Linked DNA regions of Alligator mississippiensis. The protein of the gene in region 1 interacts with the protein of each later gene in a pairwise test. Links are inferred from orthologs where the notes say so. Each region holds a gene or a part of one and is shown on either strand. Other genes may lie near its edges.

Region 1 (7,399 bases):
CCGCATGCAGCCCTTACGCATCACCAATGCTGATTATCTTTTATTAGACCAACTCAAATAGTTGGAAAACTATTAACACTATTGACCTAAGCTTTCAGGGCACTACATCAAGTTATTAGAGTACTAACTGATTTTGCAGTTACAACTTCCGGTTATTATTTTCTATTATTTTGAGGCACGTTCTTTTTTTATTATTATCTATTTAATTTTTTAAGATGCTTTACAAAAATAAAAAGAAAGGTCCCTAGCCAAAAGGATTTACTACCTGAGCTCCAATTCAGGATGGAGGTAAAAGCAGTTGCCCTTGCTCTTGAATAATCTTGAAGGACTATAGCCTAAATCAGAAAATTATACATGGGAAAGATAACAACATAAATAGGGAAGTGAATCGTAAAGGCTGAAAATACTGAAAGACATTGGAATAATTTTGTGCAAGAAGCGTTTATGTTCCAGTGTTAAGGATAAGGTAGAGCAGAGAAGAACAAGCATGTCAGGAATCAAGGTCAGCAGCAAAAAAAATGACAGAAGCAGGCTTTGGAAGGAAGGGAAATTTGAAAGATAAGTAAGAATTGTTGAAACTATTCAAGGTAGAGTCAGTGCAATGTTGGGGAGGATGGAGAAAAACACAAAATACAATTGTAGGTAAAGCTGACAGTGGAAGTAACAAAGAGGAGAGTGAGAAAAACATAAGGTGTTTAGATGTGGCTGGAACAGAGTTGTGCAGGATCTTCAAAGTGACAAAGAGAAGGTTGAATTAAATAAAGTGGCAAAGAGCCAACATTTTCTTAAGAGAGAAATAATTCAAGAGTCAAGAATTCTTATGGTGACATTTTTTAATGGACCAACTGTATGGTTGACAGAACCATAGGTAAGCATTCAAGTATCACAGCACCCTTCCCCAGGACTGAGACAGAAGCAGACATGACTGAGCCAAGTATCAGATGGAACAAAAGCTTGTTAAATAGGATCATTATCACCTGTGAAGTGCAGGGGTTAGGGGTATCAGGACAATTATAATGGGCCATTAAGTCTTTGCCTCCTGGTGGTTAGTGTCCAATAGGCTGATGAATTTCTGTTCACACACTCACTTTGTAAAGATTTGGGGGGGAATTACCCTGAGCACTAGAACTACAAGGTCAGAAGCAGAGTGATTTTCCTATGAAAAATGTTGTCTTACTACCTGAGTTCTAATGTCTCTGTCCTTTATCTTTTCTCTGTGGTCATTAATTTTGCTGCACAGTTTTTGTCTGGTTTCACCCATATAGTTTCCATGAGGGCAGTGGATGAGGTATTCCACATTTTGGGATAATCATATGTCTGATCCATGGATTCTGATGGTTTTGTAGTGGAGAGTGTTGATTGTTGTGGCAGCCGAGATCTACTGACAGATTTTGCATTAACTGTTGAGTCTTAAAGATATAAACAGGGGTGTAGGTTGTAGCCGTGTTGGTCTAAGGACATAGGCAGACAAGGTTCTTTAGGTGAATCTGATATCTTTTATTAGACCAGCTTAAATAGTTGGAAAACAATAATTGTTTTCCAACTATTTAAGTTGGTCTAATAAAAGATATCAGATTTACCCAAAGAACCTTGTCTTAAAGATATAAAGTAATTCTCAGTGGGCACATTTACATATGCATTAACATGCTGTAATTATGGCACATTAAGTTTAGTACCTGTAATAACAGGTACTAACTTAATGTAATAACAGGTAATAACAGGTAATATTAGTACCTGTAATAACAGGTATGAACTTAATGTGCCATAATCGGTGCTACTGTGCATTAGCGTTGGCGCATGTCTTTTGGGTGATACTAATGCTCAGTAGACTAATTCTACTGCACGTTAATGCGTTAGCATGGCTTTCGCATGGCTTTAGTCTACTGTACTTCTGGCATCTTGTATAGATGCACCCAGTAGCAATAAAAATATTGGGATGCAGAGATGATTTGGTAAACTAAGGACATGTCTACATGAAATGCTACTACGCAGTATAAAAAGTACTAAATAAATGTGTAGAAACCGGAGTTACTGCGCAGGAACACCAGTGAACACCTTTTAAGTGACACTACTGTGCAGTACCCTCATAATACTGCACAGTAGCTTTTTAGGACTCTTGGTGCTGAGACACGCTACCGCGCAGATTATTCTGCTACTGCGCAGTCAGCGTTTCATGTAAATGCACTCAAATATGTGCTTTCTGCCTGATTTAGTTTGAGGAAGCAAAAGGATATCCAGAAGGAATTTTAGGAGATACAAAAGGCTGTACAAAGGGAGGGATATCCAAAGGGGGAGAGAGAGAGCAGCATTGAAACAGAAAATGAGAGTACCTAAGTTATCAGGAATGTAAAAGCAAACGAAGGAGACCGAGTCCAAGAACAATTTTTGGGGAACAAGAACAAAATGAGAAATTAGAGAACATAGTAGTGTACTTAAGGGGAGGTGACCAAGACAGATGCCACAAGGGCTGCCTTAATTTGGGGAGGGAGGTGGCACAAAAATAACCATGACTGCAATGGTGGCTGATCTCGCCACCGTGTTCAGCGCTGTTGCAGCTACCCCAGAGGCCGCACAGTTGCCCAAGGCATGGGACTGACCTGCTATACCCCTGAGATGACAGGTCTACACGGCCCATGGGCAGATCTAGACTTTTGAAAAGGGGAGTGCAGATGGCGAGGTGCGTCCTCACATATAAAATAAAACATTTTTCTCCAGTTAAAAATAAACCAGAAGCTTTACTAATATGCTAGGGGCCTAGGGCTGTATTATTCATTTTAAGATTGAAGCAAAAACAAATATAACTTCGTTGGAATGAATTAAAAACAACCTATAGGCCTACGCAACTGGTAGGGGGAGCACGGGGGGGAGGGGCATGTACCCCCCCCCCCCCCCGACAGGGCCATCCCCGCCACCACCGGCCGCATCTGCAGGTGCTCACCAGCCCTGTTGAAGCTGCTGCTGCCGGCTTCTGTGGGTGACCCCCCCGGACTCAGGAGGCACCAGTTGCCTATGCCTATAGAACTGTGAAATAGGCCTATTCGATGCATTTTGGGAACACGGGCCTTATATACACAAAGCAACAGTTAGCTTTCCTTGTAATTACCCACCACGCAAAAGTCTGTGGGGGAAGGGGCCATGGGGAGGAGGGAGTAAGACTGGGGCTGGCACTGGGCAGGGATTGGGCTCGGGGCCGGGGTCCACTGCACCCATGCAAATACCCCTTCCCCCACATCAGGGGTCATTACCGGTGCCGGCGTCCACTGTCCCCCAGCCCTGCACTGGCCCTGGCTGCCTTCCTGCACTGGAACTGGTTCGGCCAGCTGTGGCGCTGGGCCAGAGGAGATGGAGTCCCTGGGATCCCCGCCCCACCCTGTCTAAAGTCATCCCCAGAAAGTGCCCAGTGGGTCCTGCAGAGTCGTGGTACTGGGGAGCCAAGCACCCCCCCGGCCCCCCAATCTTTGTGCGGAGCAAGGGCAGGCTGCAGCTGCATCACAGAGCAGGGCAGGGGCGGGGATGAATGATTTGCCCCTGCCCCTACTCCTCCCCTGCCCTCCTGCACTGTGGGGGTCTTGATCTCCCCCCAAAGAAGAAACCTTATCTACCTGCCTCTGCCTGCTGTGCCGGGCTGCTGTTCCCCCTGCTGCAGCAGCCTGCGGGCGGGTTGCCCAGTGGCAAACCCAGAAGCACCACCAGCGCTTCTCTTGATGGGGGCACGGCCAATCTCAGGGGGTGCGTGTGCACCCCCTACGCATTGCCAATGCAACATGGCTGCCTTACAGCAGCCCCAAGCACGTGATGACAAACAGGCCCAAGGCGCGGGCTGCTGCCAGCCCAGCTTCCCAATTCGGCAGATGCCGAGTGAGGGGACAGGGCCTGCTCCTGGCAGGTGGGCCTGGGGGCAGCCCCGTGTATGCCTTCAGAGCCAACCAAGCAGTAGAGCCATGGGAAGTTGGCAGCAGGGTTTGAATTACTGGGGAGCTGGTGGGAAGGGGCTGAGCCCCACATAAGAGATGAGAGCCCCGCTGATACATCATAACCTGTGGGGAGGGTCTCCGATTTTATTAGGGCATGGTGATGGGCAACCCAATTTTTTCTGCAGACGCCCCGAGAGTCCAAGGGCAGTGGGAAGGCAGGCTGGCTGGGGTGCAAGAGCCAAGGGCGGCGGGGGCCCGCACAGCTCCGCACTTCGGACATCTCCGTGCACACTCGGAGACTCCCGCGCCCCGCGCTTCGGCTTTCTCCGTGCGGCTTCGGGCCCCTCCGCCTAGCGCGCGGCGCGGCGCGGCCCGGCCCGCCCCGGCCCAAGCGCTTCGGGAGGCCTTCGGGCGTTTCCGCCTTCGGCAGCGCTCGGGTGTTTCCGGCAGCGCTCGGGCGTTTCCGCGCGGGGCCGCGGCGCGCTCGGCGCTTGCTCCCTGGCTGGCGCTCCTCAGTCGGCCGCTGCCTGCCTGTCGCCGGGCTGGGAGAGCCCGTGTGTGTGAGTGACGCGGCGGAGGTGTAGTTTGACGCGGTGTGTTACGTGGGGGAGAGAATAAAACTGCGGCGAGATCCGAGGCGCGAACGAAAGCAGTGACGGAGCCGCGCGGAGCCGGTAAGGGGAGGACGAGCCCGGCCGAGGGGGGGGCGCCGCCGGCGGGGACCCGGCGCCAGGCGCCCGGCGCGGCCCGGCCTGCATCGCCCGCCTCAAAGATGGAGCCGCGCCGAGCCCGGCACCAGCCCCGCCGCCGCCGCCGCCGCGAACAAAGAGTAATGGCGGATGGAGCCGGCCCGGCCCGGCCGAGGCCGCTCGGGCTGCGGGGGGGCGCCGCCGCGGGGCCCGCCGCTGCCTCCCTCCCTCCCGGAGGGGCCGCTCCGCTCTGCTCTGCTCCGCTGCGCTCCGCTCCCCTCCCGAGAGCGGCCCCGCGGGCGGCGGGGCCCGGCCACGCGGGGCTGGGGGGAGGTGGGGGGTTGTTTTGTTTCGTTTTACTTTGTTTTTTTTTCAAAGCGAAGCCGCCGCCTCCCTCCTCCCGGCCCCGCACAGGCGGATCCAGCGGCGGCGAGACGGGTCCGTGGCCGCCTCCGCCGCCGCTGCCGGGGGAAGGCAGGATCGGCCCATCTCGGCCCCGCGCCTGCTCTGCTGCTTGCTGCCTTTTTTTTTTTTTCTTCTTCTTCTTTCCCCTCTCCCCCCTATTTTTATTTAATTATTTTTTTGTTCCCCCAAAGCAAACTGGACGCGGCCAGGGCTGTAGGGCCTGGCTGGCTGCCTCCCCCGCTGCTGGCGCTGCTGGCTTGGCTCTGCCGGGCTTCCCCTCCCTGCCCCCCGCAAACGGCTCTGCAGGCCTGGCCCTCCTGCTCTTCCTACGTTTTGCGCCCCCCCCCCGCCGCCCCCCCCTTATTTTTCATTCTCCCACCTCTACACTAGGAATTACCACCCCCCCACCCCCCCCAATTTCCAGCTTGCTAGGGCTGTGCAATTCACCATTCTCCTCTACCGTTATATTAAAATATTGTGCTGTTCATTTTAAAGGCACAGTCTTTTCAGTCTTATTATTCACTCTCGTTTGTGTGTTTTGTTTTGTTTTTCTTTGACACCTATGGTTGTCACGTTTGTAGTTGGTTTCAAACGAATTTTGCTTGTAGTTTGACCAAAGTCATGTGACTGGTCTCTTCAAAACCATTTCTACCCCACCTCCCCTTTTAACACAAACTCTTGCCAGCAACTTGCTGCTCCTGGGAAATCTTTGGTCATCAGCCAGTGCAATGAAGAAAGTTCTTAGGGAAAAAAAACACTTCAAGTTTCCCAAGTCTTGCATAGAAGTCTGAAAATACTGAGCATCTTTCAATCCTGCAGAGATAACTAATAAAGGTTTATAATACCATGTTTTGAAGGTTTTTTGTGATTAAACAATACCTTCCTCTGCCGTCAGGTACTGGGTGATGGTTGGGGGTGGGGTGGCAGTTGGGTTTTGTTTTGTTGGGGTTTTTTGGAGCTGTTGCAGTCCTGAGTCCTTCACTAGATCAAGTTGCAAGATGGGGGAGCCTTTGAATTATAAGAAGATTTATACAACTGAAATCCCAAATTTAACTTTTTTCCTAAGCCAAATTACATGCAAAATGGTAGATTTTAGTATGTGAATGTCTCTTTTCTGTCATTCTGCTGTATTGTGTCTGGTAGTGTGCTGTGGTATCCCAGAGTGCTGAGAGTACTGTGCACACCTAACACTGCTAAGGCTGTTGGGTCTGCAAACATTTACACAATTCACTCGATTGAACACAAGGATTTCAAATAGGAATCCATCGTGTCACAAATATTCTGACCTGTTGTTGTCTGAGTTCTTTGCAACAGAACAGTTGCCTTATGTTACTTTTACATACTCAAAAAATGAGTAAAAGCTAAGAGCTGGCATTTGTGGAGTGGTGCCTTGAGTCTAAAAAGATTGACAGCCACTGCTCCATTGCTTTTCCTTTTGGAAAGGAAACCAAATGGCATTTGTTTTATGCATGATGAACTTGACAGTAGAAGAGCACGTCACAATGTTAAAATTGAGAGACCTGGTGCAAAACCCACTGAAATCAATTAATGTTTCCATTGTCTTTCGTGTGCAGTGGACTTTGTCCTCAAAGTATGGATTGGCTAATAGAAATTTAAATACAACATGCTGTTGTTAGGTGTCACCATCTTGGTGGGAGGAATATGCCTTTATTAATAGAAAACAGGATCATAAACATTTGCACCTTGGTATACAGCTCCATTCTATCCCCAAAACGTTCTACTTGATGGAAGAGTAGAGGTATCTAGACCATTAGTTTTATGTCTTGCAAGATATCTGGTTAAAATATGGCATCCCTCAAAAATGCTAAAGCTTAACTTAGTTTGCTTTAAAATTTTACTCATGTTTTGCCAATTAAACTAATGCCCTTTTACTATTTTGTAGAGAATTTTGCCCTGGGAAAACACTGAGCTCCTAAGTGTGCAAGAAAAATGTCCTGATCTCTCTGGAGGTTAGGTCTTGGCTGCCCTACTGGATAATGGCTCTAGTGTGGTGAAATAGGGGTGTCACTTGAGCCTTGTAGCTTCTTGGCTTTATGTCTCAGAGGGAAGAAGGGGTTAATGCTGGTAGAGTTTGTATTCCCCCCCCCAACCACCACTCGCTCAAGAGCCCTAAAATGAAATCTCTCACAGGTTGGGCAGATGATCAAATGTGATCGTTCTTCAGGTACTTTCTTCAGCAGGGCCAAAGCCTACGATACTGACCTTTTAGATTATTGTAATTTATATAGAAAATAGAAGTGAAATGATATATTGGTCCGATATCAGATTGGTACCAATATAAAGAAAATTTGCTTTATCGGATATTAGCCTAATGGGGCCTGAACTGATAACTTGGCTGATAAATGCCCGTGCTGCGCGCAGCTGCAGTGC
Region 2 (7,822 bases), on another chromosome or scaffold:
CACTGTCATGCAGCAAGGGGGAAACAGGAAGTGGAATGTGCCAAGCAAGTGACATCATCCCACCACCAGAGAGACTTCATTGTCCCTTTGGAGAAGCAGAAGAGAAACAAGAAGTGATCCTACCAAGGAAGTGACATCATCCGTGTGGGAAAGAAAAAGGCAAACAGGAAGTGGTTTGTGCCATGGAAGTGACAGCAAACATGGAGGGGAGAAACAGGAAGTGATTGTGCCAAGAAAGTTACATCATCATTCTTTCAGATAGCATCCTGTTTGTCTACTTCCTATTTCCTTGGCACCATCCACTTCCCCTCTTCCTCCTTCCTGTGTGGAGGGACAATGAGGTCACTTACTCAGCACAATCTACTTCTTGTTTCCCTCCTACCTACTTGGATGGATCAGGGGTTGTCAGCCAGGGCCATGCATACCCCTAGGGGTACTTGGACTGGTCCTAGGGGGTATGCGTGGGCAGGAGAGGACGGAGTGCTGCCGCGTCCCAGGAGCAGGGCCGGGGCAGAACGAGGGCAGGGGCATCCCTCTGTGGGGAGGGGAACCTCACATGTGGTGGCCGCTGCTGCATACCAGCCCGATGAGCTTCCCCGCCCTGCCCTGACTCCTGGGAGGTGGTGGCACTCTGTCCCCACCTGCCCATGTGCCATCTCTGCCTCCCTGCTCCATGTCCAGCCGTGCACCCTGCCCCCCGCTTTCCCCCTCAGCATCCAGCTGCAAGCTACCCGCCCCCCACAACCCCCCTGCCAGTCAGCATCTGGCCACCAAGATACTTTGACTAAAAAAGGCTGAAAACCCTTGGGATAAATGATGACATAGCATCCCTATTTCCTGTCTAGGGGACTGGCAACAAGCATCCTCATTCAGGAAAGCCAAGAGTTGGCCCACTGGTGTAGGGGACAGGACATGGAGGAGCCGGGCACCATGGAGACCCTCCAAGGATCCAGCCCAGGTCAGAGGACCACAGAGAGCCCTGGGCCGCCTCTGCCTAAGGCCATCATGGAAGGGGGGGCGCTGCCTGGGCAGTCCCCCCCACCCCTCCCTCTCCTCAGCAGGGTAGCAGACAGGAAGGGAGGGCTCACCTGAAGGGCAGGAAGCCACCAATGGTCATGTGCACCAGGGTGGACTTGTACCAGGGCTGGGGCGGGATCTCCCGGGCGATGTTCTTGGTACGACAGGGTGCGTCGAAGTGGCCGGCGCGGTTCTTGCCGAAGATGCCCCCGATGACGGTGAGGGGGAAGCCAACCAACAGCCACACACTCAGCAGCAACAAGATGGTGGTGGCTGGCAGGGCCTGTGTGGAGCCATTGGCCCAGTGCACCGAGTTGACCACGCTCCACGTCAAAAAGAAGGGGGCTGGGAGTGAGGAGAGACGGGGTCAGGGCAAGGACGAGACCACCGAGATGCCCCAAAAGTGACTGAAGAGTCCCACCCTGGCCATGGAGGAACCCTGCTAAGGGGAGGACCAGATACCACCACCCCACATCCTCTGGGGACCACAGAGACCCTTCAAGGGAGGCCAGGCAAACCCATATCACATCCTCCAGGGACCACAGAGTTGCCTCAAGGATGGCCAGGCAGACCCATCCCTCATCTTTTGGGACCCACAGAAAGCCATCATAAGACAGGCCACAGACCCATCCCAGATCCTCCAGGAACCATACACACCAACCCCTACAGAGACCACACAGACCAACCGCACATCCTATGGGGACCAAAGAGACCCTGCAAGGGAGGCCAGACAGACCCACGTCACATCCTCTGGGAACCAGAGAGATGCCCCAAGGGAGGCCAGATGGATCCATTCCACCTCCACCAAAAGATCACGGACACTCCTGAGTGAAGCACTGCAACCCCCACCCCGGGTATCATTGAGACTCCCAAAGTGGGTCCAGATGGTCCACTCCACCATCCTCCAGAGTCATAGAGGTGCCCCCCACACACAGACCTCCCCACCCCAAGACTGTAAAAACTATGAGGGGGCAGAGGGCCTTCTCCTCACCAGAGAAAAGGCTGGTGGTGAGCACGATGTTCCACACCCAGCTCTCACCCCCCAGCTGCCGGTAGAAGTGGCTGGAGACGTAGCCAGCCACGCAGCAGGTGAGGGCATAGAGCAAGATAGCGGCTGAGTTGATGGCACCGTGGCGGTGAACATTGAAGACTCCCAGCAACGCCATGACGATGATGCCGGTGCCCAGGGCCAGGAACTGACTGCCCACGCCCAACACAGCGCACAGCAGGCCGCGGCAAGGCGGGAAGCGGAAGACGTCGGTGTGGATGATCTTCCAGCCGTTGTCCCCCTGGTCGTAGTCGTCGGCTGCAGCCGAGGTCGAAGCCTCCTCGTCTAGGTTGTAGCGGGCCAGGTCATTCTTGAGGACCCTCATGAGGATGACCACCACGAAGCCCACCAGGAGAAAGACCAGAACCATGGAGTTGATGATGGACAACCAGTGGATCTCCAAAGTGCGGGGGAAGAAGGCGTCGTCGCCACCCCGGCCATGCCGCTCGCCCCGGCGCTCAGTGGCCGTCTCTGACCAGCGGATGCTGTAGGTGTGGGCCATGGGGAAGGGACCTGGCCCGGCCAGGTCATCCAGGCTGCGGGGCTTGACGTCCCTCACGCTGACGTTGGCGTAGACGATGTGGTTGCCGTTCCACTCCAGGTGAAAGTCCAGGTGCGTCCAGAGCCCCACCTTGTGGCTGTGGGGCAGGAACCCGCTCTCCTCCATGTAGCCCACGAAGCCCCTTAGAGGCAGGTCATCCACTACGAACTCGAAGTAGTAGAGCTCCTCGATGGCCCGGCGGAGCTGCGCCACCTGTCGGGGGCAGGGTGAGGACCCAGGCATCTGGGCTCCCAGCATCCCCCACTCTAATGCCCCAGGTTCCCTCTCCTCCCAGACCCCTGGCTAGGGCCCAGATGTCCCATCTCACCCCCCACCCCGGTGGCCCCAGAACCCGGGCATCTGGGCTGGGCTCCCCAGAACAAGACTTGTGGGGTCATGCCAACCTGGGGTCCTCACACCCCTGAGATGTCCATTCCAGTGCCTGAACTATGGTGGGGTCATGCTAATCTGGGGTCCTTGCACCCCTATCTTAGAGTCTATCCCAGCACCTTGGTCATCCTGGGGTCCTTGAACCCCTATCCAAGGCATCCATTTGTGCCTTGGCCATGGCAGGGGTCACGCTGAGCTTGGGTCTTCACATCCCTGCCTGGGGTGCCCACCCCAGTGCCTGAACTATGGTGGGGTCATGCTAATTTAGGGTCCTTGAACCCCTAACTGAGGAGCTCACTCCAGTGCCTTGGCCATGGCAGGGGTCACGCTGAGCTTGGGTTTTCATGCCCATACCCAAGATGTCTACACCAGTGCCTTGGCTGGGTTCGGGTCACACCCACCTGGCGTCCTTACACCTCTAGCTGAGAGTCTACCCCAGCATCTCAGCCATCCTGGGGTCCCTGAACCCCAATCCGAGGCATGCACCCTAGGCCCTTGGCTATGACAGGGGTCACACCAAGCTTGGGCCTTCACATCCCTACTCAAGGTGTCAACCTCAGTGCCTTGGCTGGGACAGGGTCACATCAACCTGGGGTCCTTGCACACCTAACTGAGGTGCCCACCCCAGTGCCTTGGTGGTGGCAGAGATCACACCAAGCTGGCGTCTTCACGCCCCTAGCCAAAGCGTGCACCCCGCGCCTCAGCCAATACTAAGCTGGAAGCCAGGCATCCATACGGGGCTACCTGGTCAGGGCTGAGCTTCATCTCGCACAGGGTCCTCTTCTCCACGTTCTCCCGGAAGCGGATCTGATAGAGGGACTCGGCCATGCGGTCGCCATCCAGCACCTCCCCCAGAGTCAGGCTCTTGTGCCGGATCTTCTCGGGGGAGCACACAGGCAGCTGGTAGTAGTGGTAGGTCTCCTGAGGGTTGTGGTAGGGCCCCACCTTGTTGACGTATAGCATGACTGGGTCCCCCGGCTTGTACTGGGCCTCCGAGGACCCCGGCAGTGGGCAGGTCCCCAGCAGGAGGAGCAGCAGGGGCACGCAGGGGTGGTGGGATGCCATGGGGCCTGCACTGAGGAAGTTGGGAAACTGGAGAGAAGTGGGAGGGAGTGAGAGCCTGGACTCCTGCGACCCGCCCCCGCCCCGCCAACACAGGTGCCCGCAGAGACGGGTCAAAGCGGTGGCAGCCCCAGGACCCCATCCCAGGTGCTCAGCGACCACCGGGGACTTCATGTCTTTGCCCAAGGTGCCCCCGCCCCCCAGTGCCTGGACCACCGCTGGGTCATGTCAACCTGGGGTCCTTGCACCCCTGCCCAGAGCACCCGTCCCAGGGGTGGGGCCATGCTGGCCTGCCCAAGGTGTCCACCCCAGTGCCTGGAGGAGGGTCATGCCAAATTGGGGTCCCTGCACCCCCAGCCTAGGCGTCTGTGCTAGTGCCATTGACCAGGGTCATGCCAACCAGGGTCCTCGCACTCCTGCCCGAGGTGCCCCCCACGCCTGGGGCATCCTGGGGTCTCGCCCCCCGGCCCCCCGCCGCCCAGGGGTCCTCGCTCACCGGCTGCCCCGGCGGTGCCTGCTGCCTGGAGGCCCGGGCCCCGCGCCCAGCCGACGGGAGTCCCCAGAAGCAGCCGACCAGCCAGGCAGCACCGACCAGCCTGGGGGCCTCGCTGGCTCGCGGCTGCCTGTCACAACGCCTGACCTCCGGCGCCCCCCTGCTCCGGCTCAGACGCTTCCAAACCCCCTGCTCGGCTTCCCGGAGGGTCCCCCGACAAGCGGACGTCGGCCCTTCCCCGGAGAACTGCCCCCCCGGCCGGAACCAAGAGCGACAAGTTGTGGGGACCTTCAGGCGACGGCCAGGTCAGCCCTAGCCACGTCCACCCGCTACTTCCGCCCTTAGTGCCCGGCCTGGCCTTCATGTCCACCCCTGACGTAGTTCCGCTGCGGCCGTCCCTCTCTCCCGCCTTTGGGGCCGCCTTAAAGGGCACTGTGCACAGAAGGCGGTGGGAGGCCTTAAAGGGCCAGGTCCCTATTTCTGAGAGGAGGAAGGGGGGCCTCTAGCAGCTCTCCAAAATGGGGGGTTCTGGGTGACCCAAGCTGAACCCCCATTCCCTAGTGGCCCCAATATATGAACACCCACAAATCACCCCCCCATGTGGGGCATGGGCAGCTCCCCAATGCCCCCCAGTTCCCCCCACTGAGATGATGCTCCCCCACAAAGGGAATGCTCCAGAGGAAGAAGGGGAAGAGACCCCCCCCTTCCCCATCACCCTGGTGACTGGCTCCAGCCAATGGGGGTGCCTGGATTGTTGGGGAGCACTGTGATGTCACCAGCTTAGGGGTGTGATTCCAGGTCAGCAAGTCAGGGGCAGCGGCAGGGCCCAGGTGGGCTCCTTGCTGATTGGTGGAAGGCGGCAGGAGAGAGGGGATCATGGCCTACTGGGCGGGGGGCTGATGGGGGTCCCCTATGTGGGGTCCTGGGCACGCTGACCTCCCCCCTTGCCCATCCGCTTTCTCAGGGCACTGGCTTCCCGCAGCGCACCCGCCTGCAGTCGCGCTGGCCCGCAGCCCCTGGAGCCGCGGCGGGGGGCTGGTGCCATGCGGGGGGCCAAGGGGGCGGAGGCGGCAGGGGGCTCAACCCCCTACCTGTCAGTGATGGACCAGTACGGCTACCAGCTGGGCCGCGTCATTGGCCACGGCTCCTACGGCGTTGTGTATGAGGCCTACTTCGTCAAGCAGAAGACCAAGGTGGCCGTCAAGATCATTTCCAAAAAGAAGGCCTCAGAGGACTACCTCAACAAGTTTCTACCCCGCGAAATCCAGGTCCACCCGTTCCTGCACCAGGGGCAGGGATTGGGCCCAGCCAGGGGGCAAGGCCCACCAGGAGGCAGGGCAGAGCTAGACCCTGCCCCACTAACCCAGTGCATGGGCATCACCCACAGGTGATGAAGGGGCTGCGCCACAAGCACCTGGTGATCTTCTACCAGGCCATCGAGACAACGTCGCGCCACTACATCGCCATGGAGCTGGCACCAGGTGGCGATGTGCTGGAGCGGGTGCAGCGTGCGGGGCCCTGCGCTGAGGGCCTTGCCGGCCGCTGGTTTGCCCAGCTCGTGCTGGCTGTGGCCTACCTGCACAGCAAAAGCATCGTGCACCGGTGCGCCCACCTGTCCCTGGCAGCCCCCAGCCCCACGGCATTTCCATGCCACCAGCACCCAGGTCCCCCGTCACCACCCACCTTCTGCTCCCCAGGTGCACTCCCCCACCCTGCTTCAGTACCCCATCACCCCTTTCCAACTCACATCTCCTTGTTCCCATCCCTCTCAGGTGCCTCACATCACCCCCTACCCCTAGTGCCCATCACTGCCCTGTTCCCCATTACCCCCGTGATGCTCATGGCCCGTGCCTATACCCCCTGCCCATTCCTGCAATGCCCATCACCCCCTGGTCCCTGCACCCCTTACTGGCCTGCCCTCTGCCCCTGTGCCCATCACTATCTCGTGCGCCATCCATTCCTTCCAGTGAGGCCCATGGCCCAAGTACCCATCACCCCCTGCCCATTACCCTGCAGGGACCTGAAGCTGGAGAACCTGCTTCTGGACAAGCAGGAGAACATCAAGGTGTCAGACTTCGGGTTCGCACGGGCCATGAGCGGGGGCTCTGGGCTGGTCCTGGCTGGGGACGGGGCTGCAGCTGTGCCAGCGCTCCTGAGCCAGACCTACTGCGGTAGCTTTGCCTACGCCTGCCCTGAAATCCTGCTGGGGATGCCCTACGACCCCTTCCTGGCTGATGTCTGGAGCCTGGGAGTCATCCTTTACACACTGCTGGTCGCCCACCTGCCCTTTGATGACACCAACCTCAAGCGCCTACTGCGTGACACCCAGCGTGATGTCGTCTTCCCCGCCCAGCCCTCAGTGCCCGAGGACTGCAAGGTACCCACCACAGTCAGGGGGCAGGAAATCCTGCATGGGGAACTGGGAGAGTGTGTGTGTTGGGGGGCAGTAAGGGAGTGCTCAGGGCACGAAATCGGGCAAAGGGCTCTGGGGGGCCAGCAGGGTGTATGGGAGAGTAGAACAGATCCAGGTCCTTAAGGGGGTGAGGCAGGGGGTACCCCCCACACCAGGGGTGCCCTCTTACTGCCCCCCATCCCCCATAGGACCTGATCCAGCACCTACTGCGGGAAGCAGCCCGGCGCTTCAGCACCTTAGAGCTGCTGCAGAGCCCCTGGGTGCTGCGCTTCCAGGTTGAGCGCCCCCCAGCAGAGCTGCATGCCCTTGAGACTGCCTGGGGAGGCCGGACAGGGACAGGGGCCAGCGGACCCCCAACAAAAGCCCCCTCAGCTGCTGGGCCGTCCGACAAGAAGAAGGTGGGCTAGTCGGGCCCCTCAAGGCCACCAATGCTTTTGAGAAAGCCAGCTGGGGGGGAAGACACCCCAAAACTAGCTCTGCCCTCACTGGGGGCCCCATTGCTGAGGGGAGCCCCCCACTGTGTCACGGCACTGGGAGCCACCACAGAGCCACAGAGATCCTCACCGAGTTTATTCAGCCGGCGGGGGGGGAGCTTTGGAATCTCCCCCAGCCTGAACCCCAATAAACCCACCCAGGAAACAAAGCTCCCCCAACAACGCCTCCGCCCTGCCTCCCCCCCACAATCAGCACCGAGAGGGGTGCAGAGGAAGCCCCTATTTAAAGGCAGCAAGGAAAGGGTTAACCTGCAATACAAGGCCCCTGAGTAGATGAGGGGGCTAAGAGCAGCCCCCAACAAGCAGTATGGCCCCTCATCGTGCCCCCCCCACAAAGGCACCTGTAGTGTTCTGGGGACGCAGC

The links. The genes of interacting proteins can lie anywhere in the genome.
Region 2: the proteins of CREB1 (region 1) and TSSK4 interact in binary tests that used the Homo sapiens proteins (3 or more experiments, as listed by UniProt). The link is inferred for Alligator mississippiensis from reciprocal best matches to the Homo sapiens genes CREB1 and TSSK4.

The regions. Positions count from the first base shown.
Region 1 is NC_081827.1:175,079,424-175,086,822, forward strand, and holds the start of CREB1 (cyclic AMP-responsive element-binding protein 1), read left to right. Parts: upstream 1-4,382; 5' UTR 4,383-4,588; intron 4,589-7,399.
Region 2 is NC_081830.1:7,858,902-7,866,723, forward strand, and holds TSSK4 (testis-specific serine/threonine-protein kinase 4), read left to right. Parts: upstream 1-4,804; 5' UTR 4,805-5,594; coding exon 5,595-5,819; intron 5,820-5,938; coding exon 5,939-6,928; intron 6,929-7,152; coding exon 7,153-7,371; 3' UTR 7,372-7,425; downstream 7,426-7,822. Other genes in the region: TM9SF1 (transmembrane 9 superfamily member 1), read right to left, coding at 1,089-1,362, 2,009-2,819, 3,741-4,061. UniProt on the Homo sapiens protein: Serine/threonine kinase which is involved in male germ cell development and in mature sperm function. May be involved in the Cre/Creb signaling pathway. Phosphorylates CREB1 on 'Ser-133' in vitro and can stimulate Cre/Creb pathway in cells.